Astyanax mexicanus: one gene and its partner. The protein of the gene in region 1 interacts with the protein of each later gene in a biochemical or structural test. Links are inferred from orthologs where the notes say so. Each region holds a gene or a part of one and is shown on either strand. Other genes may lie near its edges. The genes, in order: ppp2r1bb and ppp2r2ab.

Region 1 (16,796 bases):
CCGGGCCGACTGCCTTTTGCAACTTTATAAAAAACAAACAACAAATAAAAAATTACTCCATGCTGAATATTAATTCTGACATTTTGTACTAGTGCCAACTAGTGCTGGGCAGTCTATCGATTCATTCGGTTTACCGCAGGGTGAACTTGATCCGGTATGCGTTTCTCTCATACCGCCACGCCACTAGAGGACACTGCGGAGCGCTGTGCGGAACAGAGCCGTCAGAAAAGAGAGCCAAAGCTGCTCTAGCTCCATCCTGCAGAGAAATCTGAACAGCTCCTGCTGCTGTTTCTACTGTGTGAGTGTTTTTATCCCAGTAAAACAAAGCAGTAACTACAGCGCTTTTAAATATATTAATATTGTAGCTTGAAGGATGATTTTACTGTATTTGTTAACTGAAGAAAGAAGGGAGTTGTAGCTGATTAAAAATACTGTAATGCCTCTAATGGCTTCAGGAATAACATATAGTAAATTGATATTAAACTTGTATCTTGTAACTTTTGAGAAATATCCTTTAATACTTAAACACTGTTTTAAACAGTATTTTAGGTTTATTTAATATATTGAATTTTGTCAAGGGAGATAAATTGTTTAAAGTATTAAAGTTGTTAGCATATCTATTTTTAAGGTCTATAGTTTACATTCTTTAACAATTTTCCTGATAATAAAGTCTGACTTCTTCATATATTGTGTATATATTTTGTAAACCGTATACTACTCAAAGCCTTACTTTTAAAACCTTAGTGTTTTTATATTAAAGCCCAGTCATGCCCAAATATATATATATATATATATATATATATATATATAATAAAATATTAATACAAATACCGTGATATACAGTAAAACCGTCAGAATCTTGAAAAACACTGTGATATGCATTTTTGGCTAAACCGCCCAGCACTACGTTTAAGTTACTTGAAAGCAGTTTGGAAGATCTACCTCAGAGAACTTGTCTGCCACCATGTAGCGCACCCTCCAGGACTTGTCCTCGGCTGCCTGGCGCAGGGTGGGCATCACTAGAGTCTCCAGGTCCTCCTGAGGCAGCAGAGTGGCGATGCTGACACAGGCTTCTACTGCCAGAAGCCTCACAGAGTCCTGATGGATTGTAAAGAACACTACGTTAAAACAGAACTTCACCTCCCGGCATTATTTATGGAAGTGCTTACAGTAGCCCAAACACGCTTACGTACCTGCTCATCGGACGCCAGTGCAGTGAAAAGAGGAATGATGTCACTTTTGACATAATCCAGCTCCAGCACTTTAGCAAACTCGCCCAGTTTAGAAGCAGCAGCACGGCGCACCATCGGGGTATCATCAGAGCACAGGGTGCGGAAATGCCTGCAGAGAACATCATACATCAGAAACTCACCAGACATATTAAATAAACAATGGGTAAAATAACTCGTAAGAGTTGTTACAACTAAGCCATGCAATAAAAGCTGTGCAAACAATTGCTAAATATTTTTTATCTATATTACTGTATTTTGCACGGTTGATTTAAAAAAAAGTCAAATTTAATTTAATTTAAAAAATATAAGTTAAGACCCAAAAATGAAGTCATCATTTCTTTGTTAGAAAATAATATATTGTATTGAAAATCCAAACTTGACTTTTTCCCAGCTGTTATAAATAACTATCAGTGTCCATTAGGGTTGCAGCGGTAACCGGTTTCACGGTATACCATGGTATTAAAATGCACGGTTATCATACCGTGTGTGTTTGCTTATTACCGGTAAAACGCAAGCCAGCGGAGAAAGTCACCCGCGCATGCGCAACTCTGCTCCGCTTCAGCTACTCAGCACACAGCGGTGAGAACGGCAGAAAGTGCATCAGACTAGAGCCTAGATTCTCTGCCCGAACCAGACCTGACCCGAGGACCGACCCGAAATCGGGTCCGTTCGGGCCGAGATTTCCCACCACATTCCTCGGGCCGGGTCGGGTTGGGCTCCAGAAAATAGTCTGAGATGTAGGCATCTGTTTTTTAATTATATATTTTATTTTTAAATAAAGCTCTGGTGTGATAATCACAATGTTAATGCTAAGTAACCAATTATTATTGTTAATGAAAACGAACCAAATAACGAAAACTGAAAGTGAAACTTAACTAACTTATTTATAAGCGCTGTTTTCACTCCCGCAGTTCTACAGCGGGAGGTGTTGTGCCGATTCTGTCCGCGAAGCGGGAGTCGGATTGAGCAGGGAGTCGGATTCGGCATAACAGCGGCAGCGCGGCTGCACCTCGCGGTCCGCGGTGTTAGTTGTAAGCGCTCGCGCTAGCCGCAAAATACGACAGAAAACACTGAGAAACTGCAGAATTATGAATTGGACTAAAATGAGCACGAGGAGATAAAAGAGAACCTTTACCTGTGAGTAGCTCACATCAGAACACGCAAATCTCTCTCTCTCTCTGTGTCTCTCTCTCTCGCACGTGAACTTCTCCGCACTGTGTTTAGCTGTTCTTAAAAATCATTTTTATTAAATAATAGTTCTATGCTTCTATGTTAGTGTTAATTAACATAATTCTGATCATATTTCGCTCATTCAAACAGCCTGAAAACAGACTTGTAATCTTGTAATCAACAAGCTTGTAATCAATGTGGCCGTAGTCACAGCTAAAGGAGGAAATACATCAAACCTGTTCTCCCATCTCCGAGAACACCACCCCGCTGTGCAGCGCAAAGTATGTGTTCAGTTTATAATTTTAATCTGAACATAAATAAAACTTTTGTAGTCGTGCACAACCCATGCGGTAAGCGCCCGCAAAAGCGCTGAGTTATCCGAAATTTGGGCACGCAGGTACAGGCGTGAAGTGCGTGCTACGATGGATTCACGTGTCCGTGTAAAGGTCCTGGCCGGACTGGATGTGAAAGACGCCATTCATTTACATGCGTTAATTTTCTAATTCTGACGTGCCTGTTTTTCATATGTTGAAGGTTTTAAGGTGTGAAAGCCTTAAAATAGAAATCTCTATTGTGAGGATCATGTCAGAAATAAATCCCCTCTTTCTGCAGTATCTGGTTATATACCAACTTTTTTATATATATATACGCTCTTAATGCCCTTAAGAGTAGTGGGAAAACATGGTTTCCTTCACCTGATGGTGTAGTTTCTACAATAAATAGTTAATTGAACAAAAAAACTTTGTTGTAATTTCTTTAAGGGTCAGTTTAATAATATATGTAACAAACTGTGATACCGTGATAACCGTGATACCGTGGTATTTTCCGAGACGGTTATCATACCGTGAAAATCTCATACCGTTGCAACCCTAGTGTCCATTTATCATTATCTTATTTGGCCATATCTTTAAAAACAAAAACAACATAAAAATGCACAAAAAAAAATTGTAAAGCTTACAGGTTTTGTTTTTTTACCCCATAAAAAAAACTGCACAAAGTGAAATGTTTGAGAATCGCAGTTGTAAAATAAAGCACACAATTTGTAGCTATTTATTAGTCTTGGTCAAGACTTATGACATTCCAGTTAGCTAACTCGCTGCTAACGTTAGTTAGCTCGACGCTAGTGTTAGCTAGCCCCCCGCTAATCTCTGTTCTCTCTCTGCATTAGATGTTTACAGCAGGCCACTGTGCTTTCTTACCAACATTAAACATACTGTTGCTAAAGGTTTTTTTTTATTTAAATTATTTTAAATTAAAAAAATGTAATTTAAATCTTAATGTTTAATTTAACCACGGGAACCCTGATATTTTGCTTGTATCAAAATACAATTATTCAAATACTTTTAAAATCTCAGCAAAAAAATAAAAACCTTTAACATCCAAAGTAATTCCATAACAAGAAGTGTACAAGGGTGTTTATCCCAAGTTTAAGACTCAATTTTCCATACTCTCCGTTAATCTCTTGTTTTGTACCAAGAGATTCTCCTGTTTTTGTATTATGCAGATTAGTGTGAGATATGAGATGTACAGAGCTAAAACTGTAAAACAGAAGAGACTGCAGTAATTCTAATAAAGGGCATACCACCATGTTTTCTGATACTGTTATGGACACTGAAATATTGAGCACTGGCCAAAACCTGATACTGAACCAATTTGTTTTAAATCTGAGCTGAACATCCTCGTCTATATTTTCGGCTAAATTTGTTCCAGGAATCAATCAGACTCTTCCCCTTCTTCCCAAATACCAGTCATTTAATATCAGGCATTTTACTGTTGGTACTGGCTCAATCCATAAATTCACAGAAGCACAATAAAAATGCTAAATTCTAAGATAAATAAAGTCACACCTATTACAGTGTACTAAAACTGAAGCAAGTAGGGAGTTTGAGTGGTACGTACTGGCGGATCTCAGCCTTGACGGTGCTGGAAACTCGTGGATAGCACACGCTGAACAGGCCACAGGCAGAAGTACGGGAGGTAAACCAGTCACCGCTGGCCAGGCGCTTCACCAGAGGCTCGAAGTGCACCTCCAGATCCACAGGAGAATGCTCCTGCGAAATTTTCCTCAGAGACTCCACAGCCTTGTCTCGCACTACTGTCTCCTCCACGGTGGCGAGGCTCTCCAGTGGTGGCTGGTGGAGCAATTGAAGACATAAATAAATTATTTCAAGTCTTTTACTTTATACTCTTATAAAACTTATTGAAATAAAATATATGAAATCCTGCTGGTGTGGATTAATCGAAGTTAATAGTTAAGTGATGCACACAAAACCAAATGACCACTTACAGAAGAGTCTTTTACTGACAAAGTGAGCATGTGGGCACAAGCTATAGGTATCCTATTTTTTGCACTGTAAGGCGCACTTAAAATCCTTTAATTCTGCTGAAAAGCCTTCAGGTCAGGTATTAAGGAGCAGTAAAGCCACTCAGCTTCAGTACAGAGTTATACAGGAGTTTCAGTTTAGTTCTCCAGTATCGGGGCTAGAGTAGCATTACTCACTAACCAGACTAAGCGCTAGCTCTTCGGACAGTCAGAAGGGAGTCATTTTTTACCTGTAGCCTGCTGCTAACCCTGGCTAGCACTGCTGTAGCAGCATTAGCATTAGCCACTAACTGCACTCTCTCTTTCTTTGTTCAGAGGCTAGTATATCAGACTGTAGCCTGCGTGTTTACGGTGTTAAAATAAGCTATGTGGGACAAACTACTAGCTAATATTGCCCTGGCTTAACAGAACACTCAAGGTTAGCAGTTAGCCACTAATGATAATGCTCTAGCCTTAGTGCTGGATAAATGTGGGAATAACGGAGATAAATCTCTGTAGATCTACATCCAGCCAAGGTTTTTTAGTTTTTTAGTTTGGTTTACTTGGCTTAGCTTTACTTAACTTAGTTCGATACCCCTCCCCAACCCCACAGCAGTGAGACCTGCTAAATTAGAAGTTGGCTAGTTTACTAGTGTTGCTCAAAACACTCTCTAGGGTGCCTTATTAGTGCAAAAAATACAGGTATATAGATCTATACTTCAATAATAACCTCAATTTTGTTTGTTACTGAAGGTATTTTAGCAACTGCAAACAAACAAACCCAAAGTGACATCCTTATTGCCTTTACAGCTATTACAGCCGTAACGGGATAGGAATGTGTGTGTGTGTGTGTGTGTGTTTTTAACAGTAAAAATGTAAAACAGAAACTAAAAAGTGAAAATTAAATTAGAGACAATAATGTGCATCATGGGTATATACGTCATTTCTGACTCTTAAACTGGCAACTCTGTTACTTACCAAGAGGCAGTGGACATACTCCGGCCCTCCAACCAGCATGGTGAAGTTACCCAGCTGCTCAGCCAGGGCAAGAAGCACCTCGTCCTCATCATAAATAGTGTCTGCATGACCAGAAAAAGGACATATTACTCATATTTATATGTTCAAAGGCTTGCGTTCTGAGAATGAGAGATATAGATATATATATATATATATATATATATATATATATATATATATATATATATATATATATATATATATATATATATATATATATATATATAAACACATCTAGAGGGATAATTCCATAAAGATGTCATACCAGTGAGGAACGGCAGAAGCTCAGTGCGGGTCCTCTCCACACCCAGGGCCAGGGCGATAGTTGACAGCTTTTTGATGCTGTTCAGACGCAACTGAAAATGGAAAAAAATAAACATATGAACATTTAGCTGGGACACATAAAATATAGAACATTTAGAAGAAATATTAACAGCTAAATAAATGTCCTCAAGTTTAACGAGACCCTTTACTCAAACTGGTATATATAAAATGAAGAAAATTGGTTTATTTAAACCAAGGAAATATTAAAATTAGAAACATTTAAAGCCTCTAAACCATATTTTCTACCTTGATGTTTGTACATGCACATGTGACACGTTACAGCAAGAGAAATTAGCATCCTCACTATGATGAGGAGAGATGTATGTATGGTGTTTTCTTGAGTTACTGGTTGTTGAGTCCAGCGCCAATGAACCTGAGTTACATCCCTATCTCTTGGTACTGCTTCTAGTAATAACAACTGACCATTTTTCATCAAGTTCAAATGGTTAGCTGACAATCAAGCATTTAAATCCTACACTCCTGTAGGACAATCCTACACAGCTGTATCTATTATTTTACTAGGAACATTACCTGTACACAGGTGACTGGCATGGCAGAAATAGTCATTAACTAATTAAAAAGAAATAATCTACATATTTGTCAACTACCAAAATAATCATTAGTTGCAGCCGTACTTGCTATGGGAACTTTTGTTAAGAAAGAGACATGACAGTGGGGAGACATGCACAGGTGTGTAGATCTGAGCAGGTGAGGTAAAACATGTGTTTGAACAGGAGCCGTGCTCATTAGTAAATTATATTCAAATTAACTTGCTCTCATTTTAAGAACCATTAAATCAGCCAATTTGGTTGATTATTTTACACTGATATTTGCTGATGTATTTATTGTATGCCAGAAAGGATAAAGCAACATTGGCCATGACATTAGTATGGACCAACACACACCACAATACTTTATTCATTGATTTAAATATTTTTTTGTAGCTTCTATCTATGGGTGGATCTATCCATCCATCTGCCTGTCCATCTATCCATTAATGATGAATCGATTCAACTATTAATTATAGATCCATCCATCTACCCATCAATCTATCCACCCATCCATCCACCTAGCTATGCATTAATCTATGGAGGAATATATTAATTCATCTATTTGTCCATTTATCCGTTATTTATTGATTCATCCATCTACCCACCCATTTATTTACCCATCCAACCACCATCTACTCATCCATTCATGATGTACCCTGTTTGGGTAAACAGGGAGAGCGGATGCAGACGGAGCTCATCTTTACCTATTAAACTATAGCTAGTTAATGTATTTTCCCAGAATCAATAACACATCTGGCTATATAACAAATCCAGCTGGTTTATTTAAACTAATCAATAAACCTGACTGTCCACTGTCCCGGCCGTTAACCCATCACACCTCTGACGGAAAGCTCTGTTAGCATTAGCATAGCAGGATGCGCAGTCACTGATCATATAATCTCTATAAACTAAAAACACGGTGATCACAGACTACACATCCTCACTTCTTTATAAACTAAATACCGCAGTGATAAACTCTGTAGCGCTATTAAACAGAGCGGTAGCTGGTGTACAGCTCTATAAGCTGTTATATTTAGCTTAGCTAGGTTACCTAGCTACTGCTGCTAGTTAGTTAGCGTTAGCGTAGCTGCAGCCCGAGGCCAGCCGGAGCTCAGGCCGCCGCCCGCCCTCCGCGCTGAGCTAGCATTAGCCTCTCACAGCTCTCCGCCACATTACACCACCTCCAGCCTCACAGCTCCCCGGTTTAACCGCGTAAATATACTCAGAAGAAGCTGAACACGAATTCACGGCTTACCTGAACGTCTTCATTCCTCAATTCGTCGATTAAAACCGCGATAGGGTACAGAGAATCTTCTCCCTCAGCTCCGGCCATTTCAGCGTCCTGTCTGTTTCCGCCTCCACTGCGCAGCTACTGAAGAGCTCTGCAGAGAAACACCCGCCAAAATAAGAGCACAGCATACAGCACGGTTAAAGCGTTAAAACATTTATTAATTTATAGAAAATCCAATATTTATATATTTATTAACCTTCTAAGGCATGATGTTTATTTCAGGAAACAAAGTTATTATTATTATTATTATTATTATTATTATTATTATTATTATTATTATTATTATTATTATTATTATTATTATTATTATTATTATTATGGCGGCTGATTTTTAAAGGATAGAGTACACCATAGAGCACGGTTAAAGCGTTAAAACATTTATTAATTTATAGAAAAATATAAGAATATGCCTAGAAGTAATGGGGAACAAATATTACTATTAACCCTCTACGACATGATGTTTTTTTCAGGAAACAATTGTATTATTATTATTATTATTATTATATTTTTAATATATTTTGTATTGTTATTATTATTATTGTAGCTGTTTTTTTTTTTACCTCAACAAATATGAAAATCACACTATAGAGGGTTAAAATAAACACAACATTTACAACCATAGTTAAAATGATACAATAAGCATACAGAAATCTTACTAAATAGCAAAAAAATTGCACTGTGTCTTTTTAGGGGTGGGATCTTTTAATAATTATTAGTTTATATGTAATTGTGTAATTTAATAATTTCCAGTATTCTTGATAAATGAACAATTTTAACCAATAAACATTTCAAATAACAATCTATCTTCAAGCTATAGTTCAAACAGTTGCATAAGGTGTTTGGCCTTATACGTGAAATAAGGCTGAAAATCTTGTACAGCAATAACTTTTTAATGACAAATTGAAATCACAACTGTCTGTGTATATATGTATATATATACAGTGTATATTAGTATATTAGTTTTGTAATATATTTTTATTTGAAAATCAAGACAAAAAATACCTATAGGCTAATTATTTTATTGCTACATAATTTATTCAGTGGTGATTAAAAAGACAAAGCTTCTTACCTAAATGAACACATACACAAAACAGTACACAGTACACAAACGATATAAAACAAAGACGCCTGTAGCCTGTATTACTACAAGACATACAGAAACTGTTTTTACCTCACAGCACATGTCCAGCCGGGTGAATTAAGTTGTTTTGCAGATTGATTCCAGCGGACCAGACACACTGTCACATCTGGTGTGAAATTAGGTTAATAGACTAGCAACCTCACCAAAACACCCTAAAAACAAAGCAGCAAGCCCTTTTTTCCAGTGTGGGGACATTAAGTGGCGTTGGCGAGCACAGTTTGAGCAGTTGGTGTACAAATCTTACAGTATTTTGAATAAATGTTTTTATTTAATTGTCCAGGAGTGTTAGCTTGCTAGTACCATGGCAGTATTTATGTGCATGTTGTAATATGTTGTAATTTGTAGGATCTTGTGACATTCAGGACAAAATGTACTGGCTTTGGACTTTTTTTTTCTGACAGGCATGGCATCAACAACCAAATGATGCATTATGTCAGATGTGTTGATTGTTTGGCACCATCATAAGCCAGGTTCCAAATCCAGGTCCTCGGCTGCAGCCAGTGTAGACTGCATTTCTCGACTGCTGTGTCATAAAAAGCTGTTCAAAAGTGAAGCATCCTTCATATAGCGCTTACAAATGCAGTCTACGTTCAGAAATTTTGGTGCAATTTATGTTTTTTTCTGGATCTGGGCAACCCACACTTTATTTTGCATGTAGAATGTGAAGGGAAAAAGCATCAGCAAAGCCTAGAACAGCAAGGTGCAAAACGCAATTTGCTCTATTTTCTCACAGAAGTTCCCTCACAAGGTTTGTTCTAGGACCTGTTCTAGGCTTTGCAATACCTGATAGATCCGACAGGGACACAAACAAAAATGAGCTTTTTCTTTTAAAAATGAGTTTTAAAAAGAAAGTCTTTTCCTACATCCTGGAAATCAACTTCTACCAACAGGGACTGAGCTTTTTTATTCTAGTTCTAAAATAAAAGTCTATTCCTACCTACCTACACTCTGAAAATCAACTGCTACTAGAAGACTCCGGAGGCAAGCATACTAAAAAAATTGTGACATAGGAAATGTCATTGTCTCAGTTCTTGTAGCTTCTAGACCTTTGGGTGGAGCCAACTTCAAGCAACTAGACAAAACCAACCTGGTGCCCAGCTAACAATTTTTGGTTAGTAGAATGTGTTCTTTAAATATTCAATCTATCAGATTGAATCTTAAATATAGAGCTTGCAAATGCAGTCTAGGTTCAGAGCTTAACAACATTATATAACAAAGTTATAATCTGCTAGATCCAACAGGGACACAACAAAAATGAGCTTTTTATTTTTAAAATGAGTTTTAAAAAGAAAGTCCTTTCCTACATTACTACATTCTGGAAATCTAATCAAAAATTTTTTAGAATTTTAGACAAACTAATGTAAAAGTCTTTGATTTGAAGTAAATGCAACTGGCATTGGTAACGTTACAGAAATAGTCGTACAAGATTGCAGGTTTGCATCACAATGTTATTAGAACATTTCTCACATTATTTTCCCAGTTGTATAAAATATAAACAGTAACATTGCGAAACATTAAAAGTAACATTTCAACACTAAACTTAGAACACTGACACGAAAGATGTTCCAATGATGTTACCAGAATGTTTACAACTTTAAAAAAGGTTCAAGGAACATCCAAAAAAACTTGATAGATTTAGAATCCCAGTTGTGCAGCTTGCCATCAGCTGCTGGAGCCCTGAGAAAGCACAATCGGCCTTGCTCTCTCTGGGTGGGAACTGTAGATGGCGCTCTTTCTTTTTTCCCCCTCATCACTCCTAGGGTGATTTGGATCAGCACAAGGCTGCGTCTGTGAGCTGATGTATTGGAACCGAGTCACTGTATTTTTCTCCGAGCGTTAGCGCTGTGATGCTACTCGGCAATGTTCAGTTCAAAAAGAGACGAAGTCTGACTTCACATGTGTCGGAGGAGGAATGTGCTAGTCTTTACCCTCCTGGTGTTCGGGGGGCATTAGTAGTGATAGGGGGAGTCCTAATGAGTAAGTTGGATTATTGGCTGTGTAAATTGGGGAGAAAATAGGATAAAAATGTACTTTTCAATCATTTCAGTCAATCATTTTAAGTTATCATGTCTTCTCCACAGAATGTTTGTGCTCTGCTGAGTGAGGGCTTGTAAGGAGACTAGAAGGGCACATGCTGAGAAGAGGAGGAGGGGGTCGTCAGCTGTTAATAATCAAGGAGCTGGAGGCCACTGCCGATGACGTCAAGCATTCCTCTTTCCCAACACGCTCCCTCTGATCTCGCCCTGCCACCAGTGAATTGTACACTTCTCTTCAGATGCCTCCCTCATACTTTCCCCCCCGAGCTTATTAATCTCAGCACTCGAGTCCTCTGCACTCGCCCTCTCCGAGGCCCAGGTGTGCTGGGGCCGCTGCCGCCGCGCCCTCCTGTTTATATAACGTCCAGCTAAGCTCTTTCATCTGCTCTCATCTTCCTCTGCTGATCGGAAAGAAGCTGCTCTCAGAGGAAAAGGCCTGGCTGAAGGGTCTTAAAGTCTGCAGTCTATTTCCCATTCCGTCCTGTTAAACATGACCATGAAAGAGAGGAAATACTTGGCTTCGCGTGTGTTGATTAATCAGCTGTGCCACTGATTTTACCCAAGAGAAATACATGCAAAATACATCCTAACCTGCAAAAAGGTCAGACATGGAGGAAAGACACGTACAGAAAAACAGCATGAGCAACAGCGATATTCTCTCACTGCACAGCAAATTTCTGGAGATCAAAAATCTGGAGTCAAAGAAGAATGTGTGAAAGTGTGTCATGGCTGGACAGGACTCAGACACGCGCTGATGCAGATAAAACGTGACTTTATTAAATAACTTTATTAATAAAGGGGCAGACAAAGGGATAGTCAGACAAAAATATACTAATAGGGGCAAACAACAGCAGAAGGGATTTTTGGACATTTCAGGGGTGGTCACTTCTGAAAATCTTCAATTTGATCATTTTTAGTCATATATTTATTAAATACAGGTAATAGACTATCAAAAAGTTTGATTTGTCAAGCTCAGGTATCAAAGCAGTTTTTTAAAATTAGATTATGCAATATATTTGGTAACTTACAGTAACAGGGTTGTGAGTAACAGGGTTGCAAATCTAGGCTAAGTTGTAGTTTAACCAAGGAACAGATGCTAACTGTAAAATTTAGCTATGTATACAAGATCAAGGACAAACATGGTAATATAAGTATATAAAGTAAATTTTGACTCTACTCATTATTAGTCTTACAGTATGAGTAACAGGGTTGAGTTCACTGAGAGACACACACAACTTGGACAAACATATTTGGAAAAGAAAAAAAACGTGAAAATTGTTAGAGCACTTACTCTTGGTCTTGCCATGTGGGCAGAAAATGTCCTTGTGATGTCACTTCCTTAGTGCCGGCAGACAAATATTTTTAACTCTTTCTCTGCAGGTAAAATTCCTTATGGTAACAGGGTTGAGCGCATGTTGTGGGACACAACTTAATAGCATAAAAATTGTAACATGCAATACAATGTAGACCAAAGAAGTTGTTTTCATAAGTAAAGGAGATGCAGATCAACAATATACAAGAGGAAGTCATTTATTTAGAGCTTATTTTAATTGTTAAATTTGCCAAAGGAGTTGGTCACCCAATGTGTGGGACAAGAGAAAACGGCCATTTTTTGAGGTGGTCCAAAGGTATTCGGTCTTTTGAATAATATCTAAGGAGCTTATTTTTCCACCATATTTTATAGTTTGTCTTATAACAAGTACATTTTTCACAAAAAATAGTCATTTATATGTTTTGGATATGTACATTTAAAATTTAAGCGGTGGGACAGTAAATGTACCAAAATCCTGGAATGTTCCATATAACATAGCAGAGTAGTAAACAGTCTAGAGGTCAAACACAGGCAGGCAATATCAGAGGGCAAAAATCGGTGAAAATAGTCGATGAACAAAGCAAGGTCAAAAACAAGAGATACAAAAATAGGCAAAAGAAACGCATTGTATAAGGAAAAAACATCAATACTCGGCAGAGCACAGGTGCATGCAAAATGAGTCCCTTTTATAGGCCAAGAGGCCTAGTATTCTGCTGACTGACTTCCTGGTAGAGGCATGTGATGTGTCATGTGATCATGAGTGAGCGAGTTTCAGTGTGAGGTGCATCCTGGGCAATGGAGTCCGGAGGCTGCAGATCGCAGATAAAGCTGAGTGTGAAAGAGACAGGAGCACTTACAGCACCAGGTGTGACAAAGTGTTAGTAACTGTGTGAGTTTATTGTGTACCAGGCTACAAACAGGGCTGCTTTACAAATTCATGCAATGTAACTCTGTCTTAAAAGCATTTGACACTGTTTTACGCTTATTTAATGTGGGCATAGCTTTTGCTAATACCACTTTTATATTTTGCAGCCTTTAAACACACCTTAAACCTAAATATCTAAAATACTATGATGTAGCCTAAAATACACACTTGCTGCTCATCCAACACTTCTCAGTCTTGACCGTTTGCTATTTTATCAGCCATTGCTCATCATTCTCATGTAATAGAGCTAACGTTCCCTCCATCACCTCAAAGTCCCTTTGTTATCCTAACTTTAATAGCGTTACTACCTGCTTAAGTGCTACACATTCCTGTTCAAACTGTCCCACGGTTTCTCAGTCACAAGCCTGCTCTCCCGGTCTGCTGCTGCTGTCTTCACCTACGGAGGAAGTGGCTACAGCAGCGAACATGTCTGTGATTTTTACACATTTTGTAACAACTACAGTGAATTTCTTTGTGCGTAACTTCTCCGAACAAGCCTTTTTGCCGCATCTGTTTCTCCATACTGCCTCTCTTTAACGCGCTCAACACTGAACGTACCACGGAGAGAAAGGGTGGGACCGCTTTCGTGCTATATCCTGATTGGTTCAGTCCACTGCCTATATTGAAGATAGACCAATGGGTCGCCCCTTCTAAATTGTGGGCTGGTCTCTTAAAAAAAAAAAAGAAAGAAAAAAAAATCCAACAGCATCAGCCCCTGAGGACTGTCAGCCCACCGGGCAAACGCCCGGTACGCCAAATTACCAGGCCAGCCCTGTAGGTATGTAGTCTTACCCACCAGGGCTTCCTTTTATGGTGTATTCCACTCCTATTTCTTCAACATTCAACCATTACTTCCTCCTCAATACCAAATTACTCCACATAATCCTCAACTGCCTTCTAACTCACCAGCCCCATAACTCCATTATCTCTTCAAAGTTTCATTACTCCAGTGTTATCTTCTTAATGGCCTATTACTCCACTCACATCTCAACTCCACATCACTCCACCTATGCCTTTAATACCCAATTATTCCACCCTCATCTCTGTCTGTTTGTCTAAAAACATGGCTAAATCTGGTTGCATCACCAGAGATGGGTAATAAGGGCAAACATCATATTGCACTGGCAAAAACACAGTAAAACAAGAGTTAATACAGAAAGTGCTTTTCCAAAATGGAGTAAAGTATGTACTGAACTGTGTGACATACTGTACTTTACATAATTAAAGTTCATTCAGTTTAATGCTCCGGATTTGTTCACCTCCAAGAACATAGCACATCTAAGTCACAGCCCTTCTAGAAAACCTTATTTTTAGAAGTTTACCATTATTCCTGTCTCTGCAATCTATATCTTACATTTGTGTAGATGTTCCTTAGTGTTTCAGCCATGATGAGGTACACAGATTACTTTATAATGTCTAACTGGATGAGGCATAATGCTGTTCCTTTGTAGCCCTTATTACCCTGAGGAGAACATTTGTTTTCCAAATGAGTCTCCTTGTTCTTTTTTTTAATACGCTGACACTAAAAATATATGAGAGAACACTGAGCAGCAATTTTCTCCTATTTTACAATGTCGTTTTCTCAGCACGGTTGCCCATCAGTAATGGCCAAGGGAGTTTTAGCTCTTTATTTAAAGGATCTGCAGCTGAATGGAAACCTTGCGTTAATGCTTTTAAAAGGACCGGTGTGGTAGGTAGAGTACGGCTGTTTTTAAACCAGCAAAGCTCTGACTGAAAAAACAGCCCTGCTCTACAGTCTGCTGCCTGGCAGGTCTTCTGGTTCACGATGTTTCAACATTAACAACAGCAAATAAGCAAACACATCAACAGCCAGGAGTGAATAACAGGTAGTTATTTTACCTAAGAATAGCTCCAGACTCTGACAACACATAGCTAGTTTTTATATAACGGACACAACCTACAGTACCAAAGCATAACAGAGCAAGCCAAAATTAGACTTTCTGTATTACAAAATGTTATAATACACAGACATACCAAATATCACATGACAGAAGCTAGTATCATGACTTTAGCTATTTCCAATGGAAACCAGAGGTTATACAGGTCCTTTTCTCTTATATGGTCATATTTCGAGATCTTGCCTTGACTTCCACAGTTCCCCTTAACTGCAATTTTGTTATCTGGCAATACACATTCTCCGGGAAATTCCATTCCCTGTTTTATAGGAAAAACATTTGCTTCATTCTCAGAGTGTTAGCATTATTTTTGAAGAAACAATTTATTGTTTAATTGTTTAATTTATGACAAATTATTAAATGCACAAACAAGTCAATTACAGTTTTTCACTTTTGCTTTGGGACATTTTTCACATCAGTATTGAATTTCTCAAAACCAGTTGTTCAATCTGTACATCAGCTAGTCTGCTGTTTCCCAAATTATCAATTGCTTCTGTCCTGCGGATCACAATATATTATTTATTGGTGTTTACCCACCAGAAGAGCTAGCCATTAGTTTAGTTTAGTTTAGTTTAGTTTATATTCTGCTGAACTGGCTTACCTACCAGAACAGCTAACCATTAGTTCACTACATACATCCTTACATTTAATTTAGTTAAGCTTGTTGTCAGAGCCTGCAAAGCAGATTTTATACATTTCTATTAGATTTTTTTTCTGGTAAATATCTCCTGAGTTCATATTTGCTCCGTGGAGTTTAAAAATGGATAATGGATGTTGAAATAATCAGGTAGTCATTATGTTATGCTTAATCTGTGTATAATGATATACAGCACTATTGCTCTGATTTTAGAAAAGATCATCTGATTTGTTTACTTATCCAGAATAATAATGAATGTAATTTATGAAAAAGTCATGTTGTAATATAATAATTAAACTGGATCGAAGCAAAACATACATCTGGATAAAGCTAAGCTTTAACCTGATACAACACAGTGTACTGTAGGGCTGTCCCTAACGATTATTTTTTAAACGATTATTCTAACGATTATTTTTTCGATTAGTCGACTAATCTATTCATTGAGAAACATATTTAAATAATTATTTTACGTTTTAAAGCAAACGATAAATTACTATATTTATATATAATAACAACAACAACAACACAAGCCTACTAAACCAAACCCCACACTTATAATCACTTACATGTACAACACGTTGTTTAGATCTATAACGCTAAAAATGGATAAGCTCCCATACATCACAACCGTGTGTTGCACTGTTTTCTGTGACCGCTAGATTTTGTGACCACTGGCAAGTAGTTCTCAGCAGACCGTGAGCACTGGCCGATTCGAAACGTGTTCGTTTCTAATATTTACCCCGACTGGCCAAAACGGTTCAGTTTAGGGCTGAGGGTAAGGTGTAGGTATAGAAAGCTTCCGTTTTGCCAATGAACGCAAAATACGGCAGAAAACACTGAGGGAGCTGCAGAATTATGAATGGGACTAGAATATGAGCACGAGGAGATCAAAGAGAACCTTTACCTGTGAGTAGCTCTCACCAGAACACGCAAATCTCTCTC
Region 2 (16,138 bases), on another chromosome or scaffold:
TTTACACCAGAGAGCTCCTTTAAGGGGTTAATTTCACCTCACTGTATGATATGAAATATATTTATCTGAATACTTGGCAGAATATGGGCGCTTTTAATGATATTCAACCCAGCGTAGCATCATTTAATCAGCGTTCAGCTGGTGTTGACTCTGCTTTGACTCAGGAGGCTCTGAATGACGCATATTCCTACTTGGAGGCCTTTTCCGATTGATCTAACGTCAGACGCCGTGCCAAAATCTAATCAGAAGATTCCCCGGGTTCGATCTTCAACGCAGAGTAAAGAACACACAAACACACACACGAGCGATATGAGAGGGCCAGCCTGTGTTAGCCATCAGGCTAGCCGCGGCCGTGTGTACTTTAATATGCTGCTGGCTGGTGTCCAGTGAGCTGGCTCCGGCTTTGCTCTTTCCTGAGCCTCACACCAGATTTCCCCCCCAGGATGGAAGGAGTAGGTTGGTGGGAGAGCGAGTGAAAGAGCGAGAGAAATAGCGAGAGAGCGAGGGATAAGCTGGAGTGGTCAGGTGGCACCACGGCCAACGTTGCCTGGAGATTTGGCAGACATTAGCATGACTCTTATAGACTAATTAAACAGCCGTCCCTCAAAGATCTTCAACGGAAGGGGTCCTTCCAGGAAAGAGGAGGCCTGCCAGCGCCTGAACCGTCCACCACTGACACTCTGACACCAATTGGTTTGTTTCCAGAACCTCTTCCCCTCCCATTTATCCCTCTACCACTTCTTTTTAGCCTAGCCTTCCTCTCACCTTCCTCTCTTTTGCCTTCCCTCTCTCTCTCTCTCTCTCTCTCTCTATCTCTCTCTCTCTCCACTCACTTTCAGCACTTGACATTTAGGTTCTTTGTTTGGCGCTGTTTTAGTGCAGCGGGGCAAGGCTGCCATCATCTGAGGGAAGAGTGAAAAACTTACTTCTGATGCCACGCCTCCATTTCCTCCATTTCCTCAACCAGACAAACATGCAGCATCCCAGCATGACCAAATTTCCAAACTCCCAGCTTTCCAGAATAGCATTCCCAAATCATAATTTGGTAACACTTTACTTGAATGGTCCTCATTGATGCTCAACTAACATTCAACTGCATGTCTATTAACCCTAGAACACTAACATTAAAACTAGTAACATCATATACCATTGGGTAAAAAAAAAAAAAACTATTTTTTTTATTTAAATCAGGTAACCCTTAACAGGTAATGTCCTAACAAACAAACAAAATAGCGCTGCTGGGATCTTTGGTTCACCCATTCCTGGGACATGTGCCTGATTTAAACACACAAACACTAAAATCAGGTAAATTACACTCATAAAATATGTTACTCTCTATCACTAACATCAGATAAAAATCACCCAATCGCATGCCTCTTGAAAAAAACATAGATGGAAGGAGGGAATCAACCATTACATTACAACTACAACTATAATATTATAACTATTTAATGTAACCCTACATCCAACTCTAACCCAAACTCTAATCTTAACATGTTATGATTGGGTTTAGGGTTAGATTTAAAGTTTAGGTTAAGGTTAGGAGTAGGGTTAGGTGTAGGGTTAGATTTTAGGGTTGATTGATGGTTAAAGTTAATCAGCATTCATTTGAATGTCAGTTGAGCATCAACAAGGCTATAAAACAGACAACCCAAGTAAAGAGCTACCCATCATTCAAAAACATTAAAGGGCCTAAAATAAAATCTACCATATTCTATGAGATGACATTTCCAAAATACTTTGTTACTATTACACTTATATAGCAGCTTTCTGCCACTCAGGGCACTGAGGGATGCTTAAATTTACATTTCACACACGCAGCAGCCAATCGTGCACAGCGTACTCTCAACCGGAAACCACCTGGAGGACTGCATCCAGTTTACCCTCGGCATCTGGGCATATAGCCACACACATTCACACACCAGAGTTTAAATTTTTTGGGCAATTTAGAGTATCCAGTTTCTCCAATATCCAATTTTTGGGCACTTTAGAGTATCCAATTTATCCAATATTCATTTTTTGGGCCATTTAGAGTATCCAATTTATCCAATATAATTTTATTGGGCAATTTAGAGTATCCAATTTATCCAATATTTAAATTTGGATAATTTAAAGTATCTAATTTATCCAATATCCAATTGTTTAGGCAATTTAGAGTATCCAATTGATCCAATATCCAATTTTTGGGGATTTTACCTGATTTCCATGGAACTCAACCCAGATAGGGACATGAACCCAAGACCTCAGCACTGGGAGGTGAACGTGCTAACCATTAAGCCAGAATGTTAGAATGTCCGGTACAGCAGAGGACCAGTGATATAGATTACACCCACAGTAATAATGAACATACAGAATAAGGACCTGTAACCTGTAATATACTCAGCTAGTCAAAGTAGTTAGTCACAGTAAATAAAAAGAGTTTAGAACACAACACAGAAATATCAGGGACTTGAGGGCTTCCATTTACCTAACATCCACCACCTTCTTCAGAATAGGAGATTATAAATTAGCTAGTTAGCTATTTAACAAGTATTTAGAGCTTCTGATTACATCAGTGTTTTATTATATACTGAAGAAATAAGTGAAATGGCTCTAGTCCACATAGCAGAATAAGGTGGATAACATTCACAAATCAGGTCTGCTTTGTAGCTTTTTACTATGACTAATTCAAAAAGCCAATAGTCAGAACGGGTGGAGCTAAAATCCTAATAGGTAGGTTGAACCTACCATATGATAGCATATGCCCTAATGATACAATTCAGATACTTTAAGTCATAAACTAGACAAAATACATGCAAACTGAGACATGCTGTATATCTGCCAGTGGTGTAAGCAACTTTTTCTTGGCACGATTTGTGAATTGCAAAGTCTGAAAACCTTTAACATCCATCACTGTGCGGTAAATACAGTTACTCTAACAAAAGCAGGATGAACTCTTTTAATAGCCTTGATTTCAGCAGATACAATGGATGTACAGGTGTTCTATTACTTTTTGCTTTAAATATGTGAACTGAGAAGTCAAGAAATTATGTTTCTTCTGGAAAAATCCATTTTCACCATTTCCAAAATTCCATTTTCCATAATATGAGCCCTTTGCTCATCATATTGTCTGTGTTTTTTGCTTTTTTGTTGACCCAATGCTTTGTGTTTTGTATCCAGGTATGGACTATGGAGGCAAAAAGGCTGTGAAAGGTTAACTGGGTTTATGAAAAATTCCATTTACTCTAATAGAGGCCTTTTAATCACTACAGGAAAAACCTATCCAACTAATCTCAGCTCACTAAACCACTTCCCTCACTTTGGATATTGCTGAGATAATGGATTGTGAAGCCAGGCCTATCAGTCCAAATGAGCAGCCTGTATGTACCTGCAGCAGCAGCAGCATCAGCATCAGCATCACCAGCAGGGTGATGCAACACTGCCATCTGTTGGCTCAGGGGTCTCGGTCCCGAGCTTCACGCCTCGCTCTGTGATAAAGTGTTCACATTAGGAGCTCCTGAGACTCGTGCTGCCAACCAGTCTGCTGGATAGGAAAGACAACCATCTGCTGCCGTATTCCTGGTTAAGTGTTTACCGGAATACATCATCACCATTATCTTCCCTTTCAAATGTGCTCTGCTTCAGATCATTAGCCCACTCTGTCAAACTGCTCCGCAAAACCTGCTCACCGCGCTCACGCTTTCTCGCCCGCCGCTCTCCGCTCTGAATTATGGGCTAAAAAACTTTCCTGAATATTAAAAACTGAATTAATTCTGCATGCGCATTCACAGCATGCTGGAGAAAGAATTTAAATAATAAGAAATAATAAAGAAAAAAGAAACAACGGTGATCTGTCTTTTCTATAAAACAATGAAGATCTTTTTCCTATGTGAAGATGTGAAGAGTTATCAACCACACATTTAGACAGTTATAGCAGAAAAGTGTATTAATGTTGTAATGTAATACATGTAATACATACAGTACTATATAGTACATATATACTATAGTACATATATGTAATAAGCAAACCCCTGTGAAAAGGAAGTGTACTTAAGTTCATTAAAAGTATGTTCAAATCAGGTAAAGAATACTAAACGTGCATATTCAATTTATTATACGTTTTAAAAATAATACACTAAATATAAATTCTTTAAAAGGTATTTCTAAGCTATATGTACTTTTCCTTATTAAGTATACTTTTACAAAATATACTGAACACACTTTTCTTTTACAAGGGAAAACATGGCCTTTCTTAACAGTATAGTCTGAGGAGAAGGACTAAACATCATGAATATCAATTACAGTAGGCCATAATTAGTCAAAAACATACTTATTTTATTAATAATAAATCATATTATATGTATTATATTTTAAAACAAATTTTGACTTCCCTTAAAAGACGTGTGACTATGTGATTTATCATCTAACATCAAAAATGAAACTCAGTAAACTCAGTAAAGGATAATATCTGGATAAGGACAAACCACATAAAAATACAAATGTAAACACACCTAACACATTTAATCTGATGATTTAAACCACTTCAGAAGATGGTCTGAGAGATTTAAAACAGACACAAATCCGATCACTTTAACTACTTCAGAAGTTCATCAAGCTCACTATGTAGGGCACTATTACGGGGTACAGAATTAGAAAACGATTTAGGACATGCCATTATGTCTGTGGGTATTCTATGTACAATTGTGTGCATCATTTGTACACTGTATGTTACAGTGCACTGAAAACCCAAACTGTTGGATCCCCAAAAGAGTGCACTATAATATAGTAATAGTAGGACAGCAACAATTAGTCAACATTACACACACTTGGTTTGCTTTCTCTCTCTCTCTGTGTGTCTTTAAAGAAGGTGTAAACACACCAGATCAGGGACAAGACAATGACCGTACCCACTGTATTTCAGCTCACTATACATGTTTTTGTGTTTTTGCTGTCTCTGGAGCGATAGAGAAAAGCAGGGAGTGAGTTTACCACAAGTTACTGCTGCTGCACAGAGAGCAGGTAGAGAAGGACAACATTTCTTCTAAATTCCAAATAACAATATTGTCAATTAGAGCATTTATTTGCAGAAAATGAGAAACGGCTGAAATAACAAAACAAAAAAAGATGCAGAGCTTTCAGACCTCAAATAATGCAAAGAAAACAAATTCATATTCATAGTTTTACATTTTAAGAGTTCAGAAATCAATAATTGTTGGAATAACCCTGGTTTGTTTTCAATCACGGTTTTTGCTATGCGTTTTGGCATCATGTTCTCTTCCTCCACCAGTCTTACACCCTGCTTTTGGATAACTTATGTATATTAACTCCTGGTGCAAAAATTCAAGCGGTTCAGCTTGATTTGATGGCTTGTGATCATCCATCTTCCTCTTGATTATATTCCAGAGGTTTTTAATTAAGTAAAATCAAAGAAGCTCATCATTTTTATGTGGTGAGGTTGTGTGTGCTTGGTTTTCTCATTCCGTCCTCTCGCTCCTTCCCCAGCGAGTGTGTATCGCCTCCTTTGTGGCGGAGTGAGGCAGGTTGACGGCGGCTGCCAGTCGCTGCCGCGGTACCTGAAAGCTGGGTCACTTGTTCAGCTTCCACATGCCTACACAATGAGTCAGCCTCTCGGCTGCGCTCTTATCACCACCTCCACTGCTGCTCCCCACAATCCTGTCTGTGTGCCTACAGTCACTCTGGGAGAATTGCGCCATTTTCTAATTCAGCAGCTCGGCTCTGAAATGGGCTCGCTTTAGCAGCTCTCCGCTGCCCACACCAAACTCAATGGCCCGGCTGCCTGAGAATGAGACGGGATGGATTTGCTAATACAGAAAAGGCTGTTGGTTCGTTGTGAGCACATGAGGCCTGTTAACACCGGCGGTCAAAAACAAATTGCTTGCATTGGCGCATGTTGGAAACTGATGTTTAGCAGCTGTTTCTGATTAAACTGATACTGATGGGGTCTCCAATGGGACATTTTAAAGCACCGTAGAGGTTATTTAATACATCCAGACTTGATTTAAACCCCACAGAAAGCATGCAGTATATAGGGCTATGCTCTCAGCAAAAATGGCCCTAAAAACTAGAATAACCGTTCCCATATATTAATAATAGAGATGTATGCCATAAACCCATAGGTTTGAGTTGGGTTGGGTCAGTTTGGTTTGGTTTGGTTTGGTTTGGTTTGGTTTGGTTTGGATTGGGTTGGGTTGGGTTTGGGTTGGGTTGGGTTGGGTTAAGTTAAGTTGGCTTAAGTTTTGTTTGGTTCAGGTTGGGTTGGGTTGGATTTGGTTTGGGTTCAGTTGGGTTAAGTTAAGTTGGCTTAAGTTTTGTTTGGTTCAGGTTGGGTTGGGTTGGGTTTGGTTTGGATTCAGTTGGGTTAAGCTAAGTTGGCTTAAGTTTTGTTAGGTTCAGGTTGGGTTGGGTTCGGTTTGGTTTGGGTTCGGTTGGGTTAAGTTAAGTTGGCTTAAGTTTTGTTTGGTTCAGGTTGGGTTGGATTGGGGTCAGGTTGGTTTGTTTTGTTTTAGTTTGAATTGAGCTTGGCAGGTTTGGTTTGGGCTGAGATGGGTTTGGTTTGGGCTAGTTTTGTTTGGTTTGGTTGGGTTTCCTCTCCTTCAGTTTTGCCCCTCAATCCACTTCTGTTTTATTTTCTCTTCCAATGATTCATCTTAATCCAACATGTCCTCTCCTCCTTTTCATCTTCCTTTTCTCTTTCTTCATACATTTCTTCCACCCACTCAATGTTTTACACTTCACTCTATTCCTCCTCCTCTCCATCCTTCTCTTCTCCTCCTCCACATCTCTTCCATCCACTTTATCTGTATCTTACAATTTCCTCTATTTCTCCTCCTTTTCTCAATCCTCCTCTCTTTTCTTGTCTCCATCATCCTCTTCTCCTCTCTATATACATTTAACCATTCCATATTTATCTCACCCTTTCCTCTATTCTTCCTCTTCCTCTCCATCCTACTATTCTCTCCTCATCTTCTTCATCCTACCCCTATCACATTTTACGCACTTCCTCTTAATCCACTTCTTCTCTTCCCGTCCATCCTACCCATCCCTCTTCTTCCTTTCCTTTCCTCACTTTCCTCTTTACCTTTGTTTCTCCACCTTTTACTCTCATCATAATTCAACCTACAGCTCCTCTCTCCATGCTTCATTCAACTGTATTCCTCCTCCTCTCGCCTTCTCTCCAATCTTCTCCCCATCCTACCCATCCCTCTCCTTCCCTTTCACAACTTCGCTCTTCTTTCCCTTTTAATTCTTTTCAAACTTACTCTTTTCATAATCCTCCTCTTTTCCTTCCTTCCTCTTCTCCATCCTCCCTCACCACTTTCTTTATTTCTCCATGTTTTTCTGTTCTCATTACTTGTTTCTGTTCTCATCTCCACCTCTCCATTCTCCTCCCTTCTCTTCCTCTTTTCCATTATTCCAATTCCCTCTATACCTCCTCCTCCTTCCCTCTCTTCATCCTCCTCCTCTTCTCCTCTCCATCCTACCATTCCCTCTATTCCTCACCCTTCCAAACTTCTCTCTCTCTCTCCATCCTACCCCACCTTTTTCACTTTTTCACTCTTTCCCTTTGTTTCTCCAACCTTTTCTGTTCTCATTTCTTGATCTTTGTCTCCTCCTCACTTCTTCTTCTTCTCCCTCTATCCATCCTCCCTTTTCCTTCATACCTCTCCTTCTTCTTTCCCTCCCTTCCTCCATCCTACCATTTCCTCTATTTTTCACCCTTCCCACCTTCTCTTCCTCCATTCTCCTCCTCCTTTTCATTTTTTTCCTTTATTTCTCCACCTTTTTTATTCTCATTACTTAATTTCCATCTCCCCCTCTCATCCTCCCTTTCCCTCTATACCTCCTCCTCCTTCCCTCTCTCCCTTCATCCTCCTCTTCACTCTTTTCGTCTTCATCTTCTCCTCCCTTCTTCCTTTTCTCCCTCTATCCTTTCATTTCATACCTCATCCTCCCCTCTCTCCCTCCAGCCTTCTCCTTCTCTTTATCCACTTCACTCTTTCCCTTTATTTCTCCACCATTTTCTATTCTAATTACTTAATATCTATCTCCCCTCTCCATCCACCTCTTCTTCTCTTCTCTTCCTCTTCTCCATCCTTCCTTTCAGTCCATACCTCCCTTCCTTCTTCCCTCTCTTCCTCCCTCCCTCTCTCCATCCTCTTCCTCCTCCTCCTCCCCTCACAGAGCGGCGCATATTGACGGCGTGCTTTGGGAGGAGGTTGCGCCATTTTGGCTGTGTAGCAGGAGGAGAGTGGGAGGAGGAGCTGGAGGGAGTGGATGAGCTGTGTTTCCACCGCTGGGCTCTCAGAGGAACCGGAGAGACACTGTAGCTAAAGCCAAAAACAGCGCTGACCACCCAGCCCCGCACCCACCGCGCCCCGGCCACGCACCGCCCGTCGCCCCGCAGCTCTCTCAGCCGGACTGCTCTGCAGGAGCGCGGAGCCAGGAGCTACTGAGACCGGCCTCCCTCTCACCATGGCAGGTAGCGTGCTAACTGTGCTAACAGTGCTAACTGCTAGTTAGCGTGCTAACTGGGGCTTTAACGCTTTTAACTTAGATATCTAGCTGACGTTTTGACATGGGGCTATTTCTAGCTTCATTCGGCAACGTTTAAACATCTGAACCTTCATTAACAGCACGTTCAACTGATGCTTAGGGTGATTGTATGAAAGTATTAGTGATAAAAGACACAGTTTGGTGAATGTTAAGCTAGGTGGGTTAGCCGCTAGCTTAAGAACGATAGCTAATTCAAACGGGCGTTCACGTTTAGCATGTTAGCGTTAGCTAGTTAGCCTAGCTAGTTAGCTTAGCCACACACTGCGGCCGTCCTGCCTGATTTTCTTTTTCCCTCCTTAGACTGTTCGTGATTATTCTCGAATTTCACACAAAACCTATAAAATAATCCACGATTTCATCTCTTTATAGGCTTGGTTTAAATGCTGTCTATCTATCGATAATGATAATTAAACAGTCAGCATTATTTAATGGATAATTTGGCGAGCTAACTCTTAGGTTAGCTTAGCTAGGTTAGCTAGCTTAGCTAACTAGCCTGAATTCCCTCGCTCTTTCCCAGAGCAGGTGGACTGATTCCTTTTTCCAGTCATTTATTTATTGATTAGCTCACTAGCTATTTGGTTAAACTCAATATATTTATAGCTATTTAGTTCAATATATATATATATATATACAATGATATTGTAAACCAGCTATATCATTGTCTATGCTATCTAAAGCTAGCTAGATTGGTTTTAACGAGTGAACTTTAACCAGTCGTGATCAGTTTTTGGTGCTGAAACTGAGAAGCGTGTACTCCATCAGTCTGCCCACCACAACAAGAAACATGGCAAATTTTACACAAACTGTCTCAATTCTGCATTAAATTACTACATATTCCTTTTATTAAAGTTGTAGAACTTTTGTTTTGGCCTAATATTTGCAGTGTAACCGATCTCTAGACCCGTTTTTAAGTATTGGTACGAAATTCAAAATTGAGTCCGATACATTCAGTAAACAGCTCATTCATGATGTTTTATTGTTTTTGGAACATGACTGTGTATATTTTAAGATTAAACCCCGATGTAACATAAATTACAATTTTGTAACTTATGTTTTACCAGTTACTAGGTTCATTAAAGTGTTTAAATTGTTGAAATGGTCAGAACAGAGCTGAAGAAACAGAAAATACACTTTTTAAAAGGAGCTAGTTTTGTTTAATCTCAAGCACTCTCAGCACTACTAGTCACTATCTGAGTTGTATAACTTTGTTTTAGCCTGATATATTAACAGAGAAACTGATCATTTAACTATGAGTGTATAAAAGTAACTTTTGGAGACTTAAAGCTAGGTTGAATCATTTCCTCAATTCAGAGGAAGCAAATCATTAAATGGAAAAAAAAAGTGATTTAATATAGTTTGAATCAGTACTGAGCAGTATGACCACAAATGTATATTACAATATTTTTCAAGATTCTGGCAGTTTCATGGTATATCACTTAATATTTTTTTATGTATTTATTGCATGACTGGACTTAAATATAGGTTTGTGGCTTACTGTACTGTTATGAGTACATATAATATAAAACTATGTGTTTGAACGAAGGCTTTGATTAGTATTGCTTTACTTTGTTCCCCAAAATTACACAGTATATGAAGAAATCATACTTAATTAGCATAAAAACAGCTAATTAATGTGAACAACAGATCTTAAAAAGAGATATGCCAACACATTTAACATGACAATGACATCCTTTACAAAACTATTTTTTTATAGTTACATAAACACTAGAAATGGACATAAAATACTCAGTGTTTAAGTATTCAAAAGATATATTTCTCAAAAGCTATAAACTGCCCAGCACTAGTTTGAATTGAAACTGACCGATATGGAAAAGTTGATATGATATTTCTTGATTTCGGCTGGTACTGTCCGTCCTGCAGGTGGACGGTGGTTTCTGGTTGAGAGTAGGCTGTGCACGATTGGCTGCCGCTTTTCAATGGTCTGTGTGGATGAGTGCTGCTTAGCTTTTAGAGTCTTGGTCCTGAAACTGTACCACATCATTAATCACGATTAATCACACTTTTTGTTTCTTAAGACTAAGTTTTATTAATGGGTATTTAAATTTGAATCCTCCCGCTTATTCATCTTCTACATTTTCATCCTCTTTTTCACTTCCTCTGCATCCTACTATTGTTTATCCTCCTTGTTCTCCACTTCCCTTTTCCCCTTTATTTATGCCTTTTATCAACAATTTACTCTAATTATTTAACCTTCTGCTTCTTTTTTCTGCCTCTTCTCCATCCTGAAACTGTGAAGCGTGTACTCTGTCAGTCTAAACATGGAAAATGTACAACAAATGTACAAACTGCCTCAATTCTGCATTAAATTACTACATTATTCTTTATCAAAGTTGCAGAACTTTTGTTCTAGCTTGATATTTACAGATAAACTGATCCCAAATGTGTTAAAGTAGCAGTATATTTTGCAGCTATTTGGAGGTTAAAACACTTCATCAGTATAAAGGAAATAATCTATACAATTAAGGGAAAAGAGGAAATTATTTAATAGTTTGAAAATTCCTATTTCAGCTTTCACTGTACAACAGAATGCCTTCACAATTGGATTGTGCCATATCATTTCATACACAATAAAATCATAAGTCCTTTTAAAATATTGTGAACAATATTATATAATATATGTGAAATATGGTGCCATATCACCCATCCCTAGTTATCACATCAGGGTACTACGTTTTTGTTGCTGTTTTTAGCTAAATAAATATCCACACTGTTCTCATTTCCCATTATACATCAGATTATATCTGTGCAGTATAATTAATTATAAATTAACTCAATCCTGGATATATGGAGATATTTGGTGTGCATTATAATTAGTATCATGACATTCTGGATCATTGACTTCTGTTACAAATCTGCTAAAATTCTTGGTTCTTAGATTTTTTAAATATCTCAATTTATATCATATGCAATAATACCATTTAACTTTCATTTTGTTGCAGTTGTATTTTTATTTATTCTAAGTTTCTTTTTTTTTTCAATTCAGTGTTTTGTCATGTCGCCAAGAGTATTGTTATCGCAGAAATACCATGAAATATCGTGATGTATTCAATTTTAGGGCCATATCGCCCACACCTATTAGTTACAAGATTCCTGATGTAAGTGGGGAGAAGGCCTGTTAAATTTGGTGTTTTAGGTGGCACCTCGTGGCAAAGAACTCTCTAAGGATGTGGGAAATAGGATTGTTACACTCCACAGCCCGCCTAGTGAACTCACTCAGATGTTCCTTCATGTTCCATATAAGCTTCAGGACCTGTCTTGCAGTAATAATTCTGTTAAAACTAGACAATGAGAAGCTCCATCTCCAATCCAGGTCTGACCAGTTTATTGTGCCAATTAATGCAGAATCGCAGAGGAGTTGCACCAACCTGTTTCCTTTATCCATCCCTCGCTCCAGAGCTAGCGTTAAAGACATGAAGTCATAGGGTGTGATTTGCTTCAAAGGCCGAGCTGAAGCTGTTCTTTCAGGCTTTATTAATTGCGGCTGGGTTTTAAAGTGAGTGGAAGACTCTGCAAGGTCACAGATCTTCTCGCTGTCTGTCTCGCTTCCATCCTGATACGTTTTATGAGACCGCCACGCATCACACATCCTGGTCTTTCAGCACCTTTTCTTACTACCTCTTTTGCAGATTGACTCAGCTTTTCCCCTTTTTTCCTACCAGGCTGCACCATTCAGCGTGAATAAGCTGGATGTGTTTCTTATTCAGACTCACTTCCTGTTCAGAAGCTCTAATTTTGGTGTAATATAGTCTAGGATCATTTGAAAAGTCTTATTTTAAGAGATGGATCGGGTTGATTTCAGGGTACGTTCTGTCCTGATTTGGCAAAGTCAAACTGCTGTGGCTGAAAAAATCTTAAAACTTCAGCTTTTACAGTAGAAGGGGTAAATTATAGAAGGATTTTATTTTATGAGTGATATGGCCCTAAAATAATATCACAATATTTATACTTTTGTGATACCAATAATCTTGGCTTTATGACCAACATTGACTTTAGGGATGCACTGATATGGTCATATGGTAATTCTGGGCTGATGTAAAAATCCAATATTACATATGAACATACAGCTTCTGAATCAGTTTCTCCAATTTTGCTATTTCTAGGTGTATGTTTGTGTAAAATTAACATTGTTTTATTCTATAAACTACGGACAACATTACTCCTAAATTCCAAATATAAATATTGTCATTTAGAGCATTTATTTGCAGAAAATGAAGAAAATGAGAAATGGCTGAAATAACAAAGATGAAGAGCTTTCAGACCTCAAAATTCAAAGAAAACATGTTCATAATCATAAAGTTTTAGGAGTTCAGAAATCAATATTTGGTGGAATAACCCTGGTTTTTAATCACAGTTTTTATGCATCTTGGAATCATGTTCTCCTCCATCAGTCTTACACACTGCTTTTGGATAACTTCATGCCTTCACTCCTGGTGCAAAAATTCAAGCAGTTTAGTTTGATTTGATGGTTTGTGATCATCCATTTTTGAATGTAATTATATTCTATAGGTTTTCAATTTGGTAAAATCAAAGAAACTCATTTTTAAGTGGTGTCTTATTTTTTGTCCAGAGCTGTATATACCTGCCATTTTTTATTAAAGTTTTAAAGTAGCGTCTTCGGTGTGTGTCTACAGCGTCGTTCGGTTCTTCAGTCTGGCATATAATAAGACAGACAGCAAATACCGGTTTAATGTTTCTAAGATAAAAAAAAAGAAAACATTAGTTGATAAATAATACAGATATATTTAACAATGGTGTGTATTATTATGGTCATGTAAAAACTTTGTTTCTCCAAAATGGCAACGTTACAGGAAAAGCAAAAAAAAAAACAGTTTATATTAATGAAAGTTACTTTTAGCGTTTTTAGAGCATTTCCTTAAGCTCTTTAATCATAAAACAACTCTTGGATTTCAAAAAAAAAAAAAAAAGGCAGACAGAGTAGCATTTGGTGATAAGCTGTATTATATAAAATATTTTATTCTTAAATGCTCTGCAGTTGTCTCTAAAATGACCGCGCAAGTGTATGAAGATGATCTTTCTGCAGGAATTTAAACCACTTTTTAAGTCACAAACCAAAGTCTGTGTGCTGTAAAATTATTGGCCTGAGATGCCTGTGATGTTGAACATGGCCTGAGTCTGTGATTTTTGCCTGTATTTGCTGATCACAAATGATTACAGATAAAACAGTAAAGCAGTTACCTGTATTAATTCATATTGGTGCAAGGACACTTAAACACACTTTTGTTTGTTTCGTGTGTGTGAATGCAGGTGCCGGAGGCGGGGGCAACGATGTGCAGTGGTGCTTCTCGCAAGTAAAAGGGGCCATTGATGATGATGTAGCTGAAGGTAGGTGAACTTTTTACTTTTGCATTTTCCCTATACTGTCATCGAGCTGATGACAAAGCCGGAACCCCTGAAATTCCTGTGTTTTAAAAAATATTATTGCATCTAAAATGCAATAGAATATCATTAAAGAGTTTTTCAGTAATTCAGTTCGGAATGTGAAACTCGTATATTATATAGATGTATTACACACAGAGTGATGATTATGAAGCTTACAGCCACTGAAAACCCAAAAATCAGTTTTAAAAAATTGTAATATTATATAGGACCAATTGATACTTTTGGAAGTGTTGTCAGTAGCAGAGGGAAGCATGAAGTGCTGGAAGATTTTGTGGGGAAACAAAACTGCACTGACTTTAGACTTGATAATAAAACACAGTGGATCAACACCAGCAGATGTTGCACATGACTCTCCAAACCATCACTGATTGGTGGAAACTTCACACTAGACCTCAAGCAGTTTAGACTTTGTGTCTCTCCGCTCTTCCTCCAGACTCTGCTCCCTTGATTTACAAATGAAATGTAAAATTTACTGATGATCAGTGATGGTTTGGAGAGACATGTCATCTGCTGGTGTTGATCCACTGTGTTTTATTATCAAGTCTAAAGTCAGTGCAGTTTTGTTTTCCCACAAAATCTTAAAGCACTTCATATCTTACAGCTTCTCTCTGCTGATAACAACTTTTATGGAGATGCAGATTTCATTTTCCAGCAGGACTTGGCACACTGCCCACACTGCCAAAAGTACCAATTGGTCTTATATAATTTTAAAATTATATGAGATGCTGATTTTTGGGTCAGTCTTTTCATAATCATCAATAATAAAAGAAATAAATGCTTTGAAGAGATAAAAAGTTTTTTCAAGGATATTCTACTTTTTACTTTTTTTTATAAGGTGCACTAGTATATATTGGGGAACAATAAAATAATAGTCTTAGTTTTCTATCTGTTCTATATATCATTAAATGCGCCAAATTTATTGGCAGTGGTATGTTTGAAGCAGTGTGAAAAATGCTAGTGTTCCTTTAGGTAGTCTTTCAGGGATAATAAACGAGTCCCAGCATCAGGAATTGTGCAATAACTGTCAGACTGGATTTGACTTATTACTGATTGTTTGCAAATATGTATGAAGAAGTGGGAGCGCAGCAGGTACGTCCTGCCTCGTCATGTTCGCAGCGAGCCGGCTCTGCGCTGCACACCGGAGAAATGAATTCCATTACTGTGGCTGTATGTCAGATCTGCACCATTCCAGAGGAGGAACGTTTTGATCCTGCATGGCTTTGGCTGAGAACATCAACCTCAGCGCCCACATGCTGTGGCTTGTTGTTGGGAAGCCTGGATGACCTAGTGTTGGATGTGTGCTTTTAGAATCCAGCAGATTGTTCTTTTCCAGAAGAAACATATCGTATTGTCCTCAGCAGTAGTGATGTACTGTAGCAGAGCATCGGTATAGATCTGCCACCACGGTTTGGTATGCATTTAAAACACAAATTACCATATTTTTCGCACTAAAATATTGCACCTAATATCTTTAACTTCCCCAAAATTTCTAAAGTGCGCCTTATAATAGTGTGCACCTTATGTATGAATTCTAGTAGCAGTAAAGCCGCTCCACTGAAGTACAGCGCTACACAGGAGTTTCAGTGAAGTTTCTCCAGCACCGAGACTGGAGCTGTATTAGCATTAGCCGCTAACCGCTACCATGTTAAAACAAGCTACTGCCTTACTGGAACACTCAGAATTTACTAGCGCTAAGCACTGCTGCTAACCATGCTGTTGAAAATATTGGTTAATCTAAGCTTACTGTAAATAAATGGAAGCGCTTTACTCACCCAAAATAACAGTTTTTAGGAAAGAAATCTGTGTAGATTAACATCCAGCACTTGTTTGACTAAAAGAAAATGTTTGGAAGGATACTGTGTCCTTTCCTCCCTTAAACAGTGAGAATTAGACATGGTGACACCCCTGTTCCCTACTATTGTCGCTTAAACTGTGCCTTATAATCTGGTGTGTCTTATGTATGAAAAGAAACCAGAAATTAGACTGTAATTGGTGGTGCGCCTTATAGTCCGTAAAAAAACGATACTTGATTATGGGCGTTTTCACACCCGAGATTAAAGGTTCATGTGTCTTTGTATCTTTGTACATTTAATCCGGTTAGTTTTGGTTTCACACTTCTCTTTAGTGACTAAGGATGGTTTCATACTAACTTCAGACCTTTCAG

What was found.
Region 2: the proteins of ppp2r1bb (region 1) and ppp2r2ab form a complex in vitro, tested with the Homo sapiens proteins (2 studies listed by BioGRID). The link is inferred for Astyanax mexicanus from reciprocal best matches to the Homo sapiens genes PPP2R1B and PPP2R2A.

What each region holds. Positions count from the first base shown.
Region 1 is NC_064425.1:3,304,572-3,321,367, forward strand, and holds the start of ppp2r1bb (serine/threonine-protein phosphatase 2A 65 kDa regulatory subunit A beta isoform), read right to left. Parts: upstream 7,978-16,796; 5' UTR 7,930-7,977; coding exon 7,852-7,929; intron 6,078-7,851; coding exon 5,987-6,077; intron 5,784-5,986; coding exon 5,683-5,783; intron 4,535-5,682; coding exon 4,302-4,534; intron 1,342-4,301; coding exon 1,194-1,341; intron 1,099-1,193; coding exon 943-1,098; intron 23-942; coding exon 1-22. UniProt on the Homo sapiens protein: The PR65 subunit of protein phosphatase 2A serves as a scaffolding molecule to coordinate the assembly of the catalytic subunit and a variable regulatory B subunit.
Region 2 is NC_064427.1:17,945,498-17,961,635, reverse strand, and holds the start of ppp2r2ab (serine/threonine-protein phosphatase 2A 55 kDa regulatory subunit B alpha isoform), read left to right. Parts: upstream 1-8,206; 5' UTR 8,207-8,472; coding exon 8,473-8,479; intron 8,480-13,839; coding exon 13,840-13,917; intron 13,918-16,138. UniProt on the Homo sapiens protein: Substrate-recognition subunit of protein phosphatase 2A (PP2A) that plays a key role in cell cycle by controlling mitosis entry and exit. Involved in chromosome clustering during late mitosis by mediating dephosphorylation of MKI67.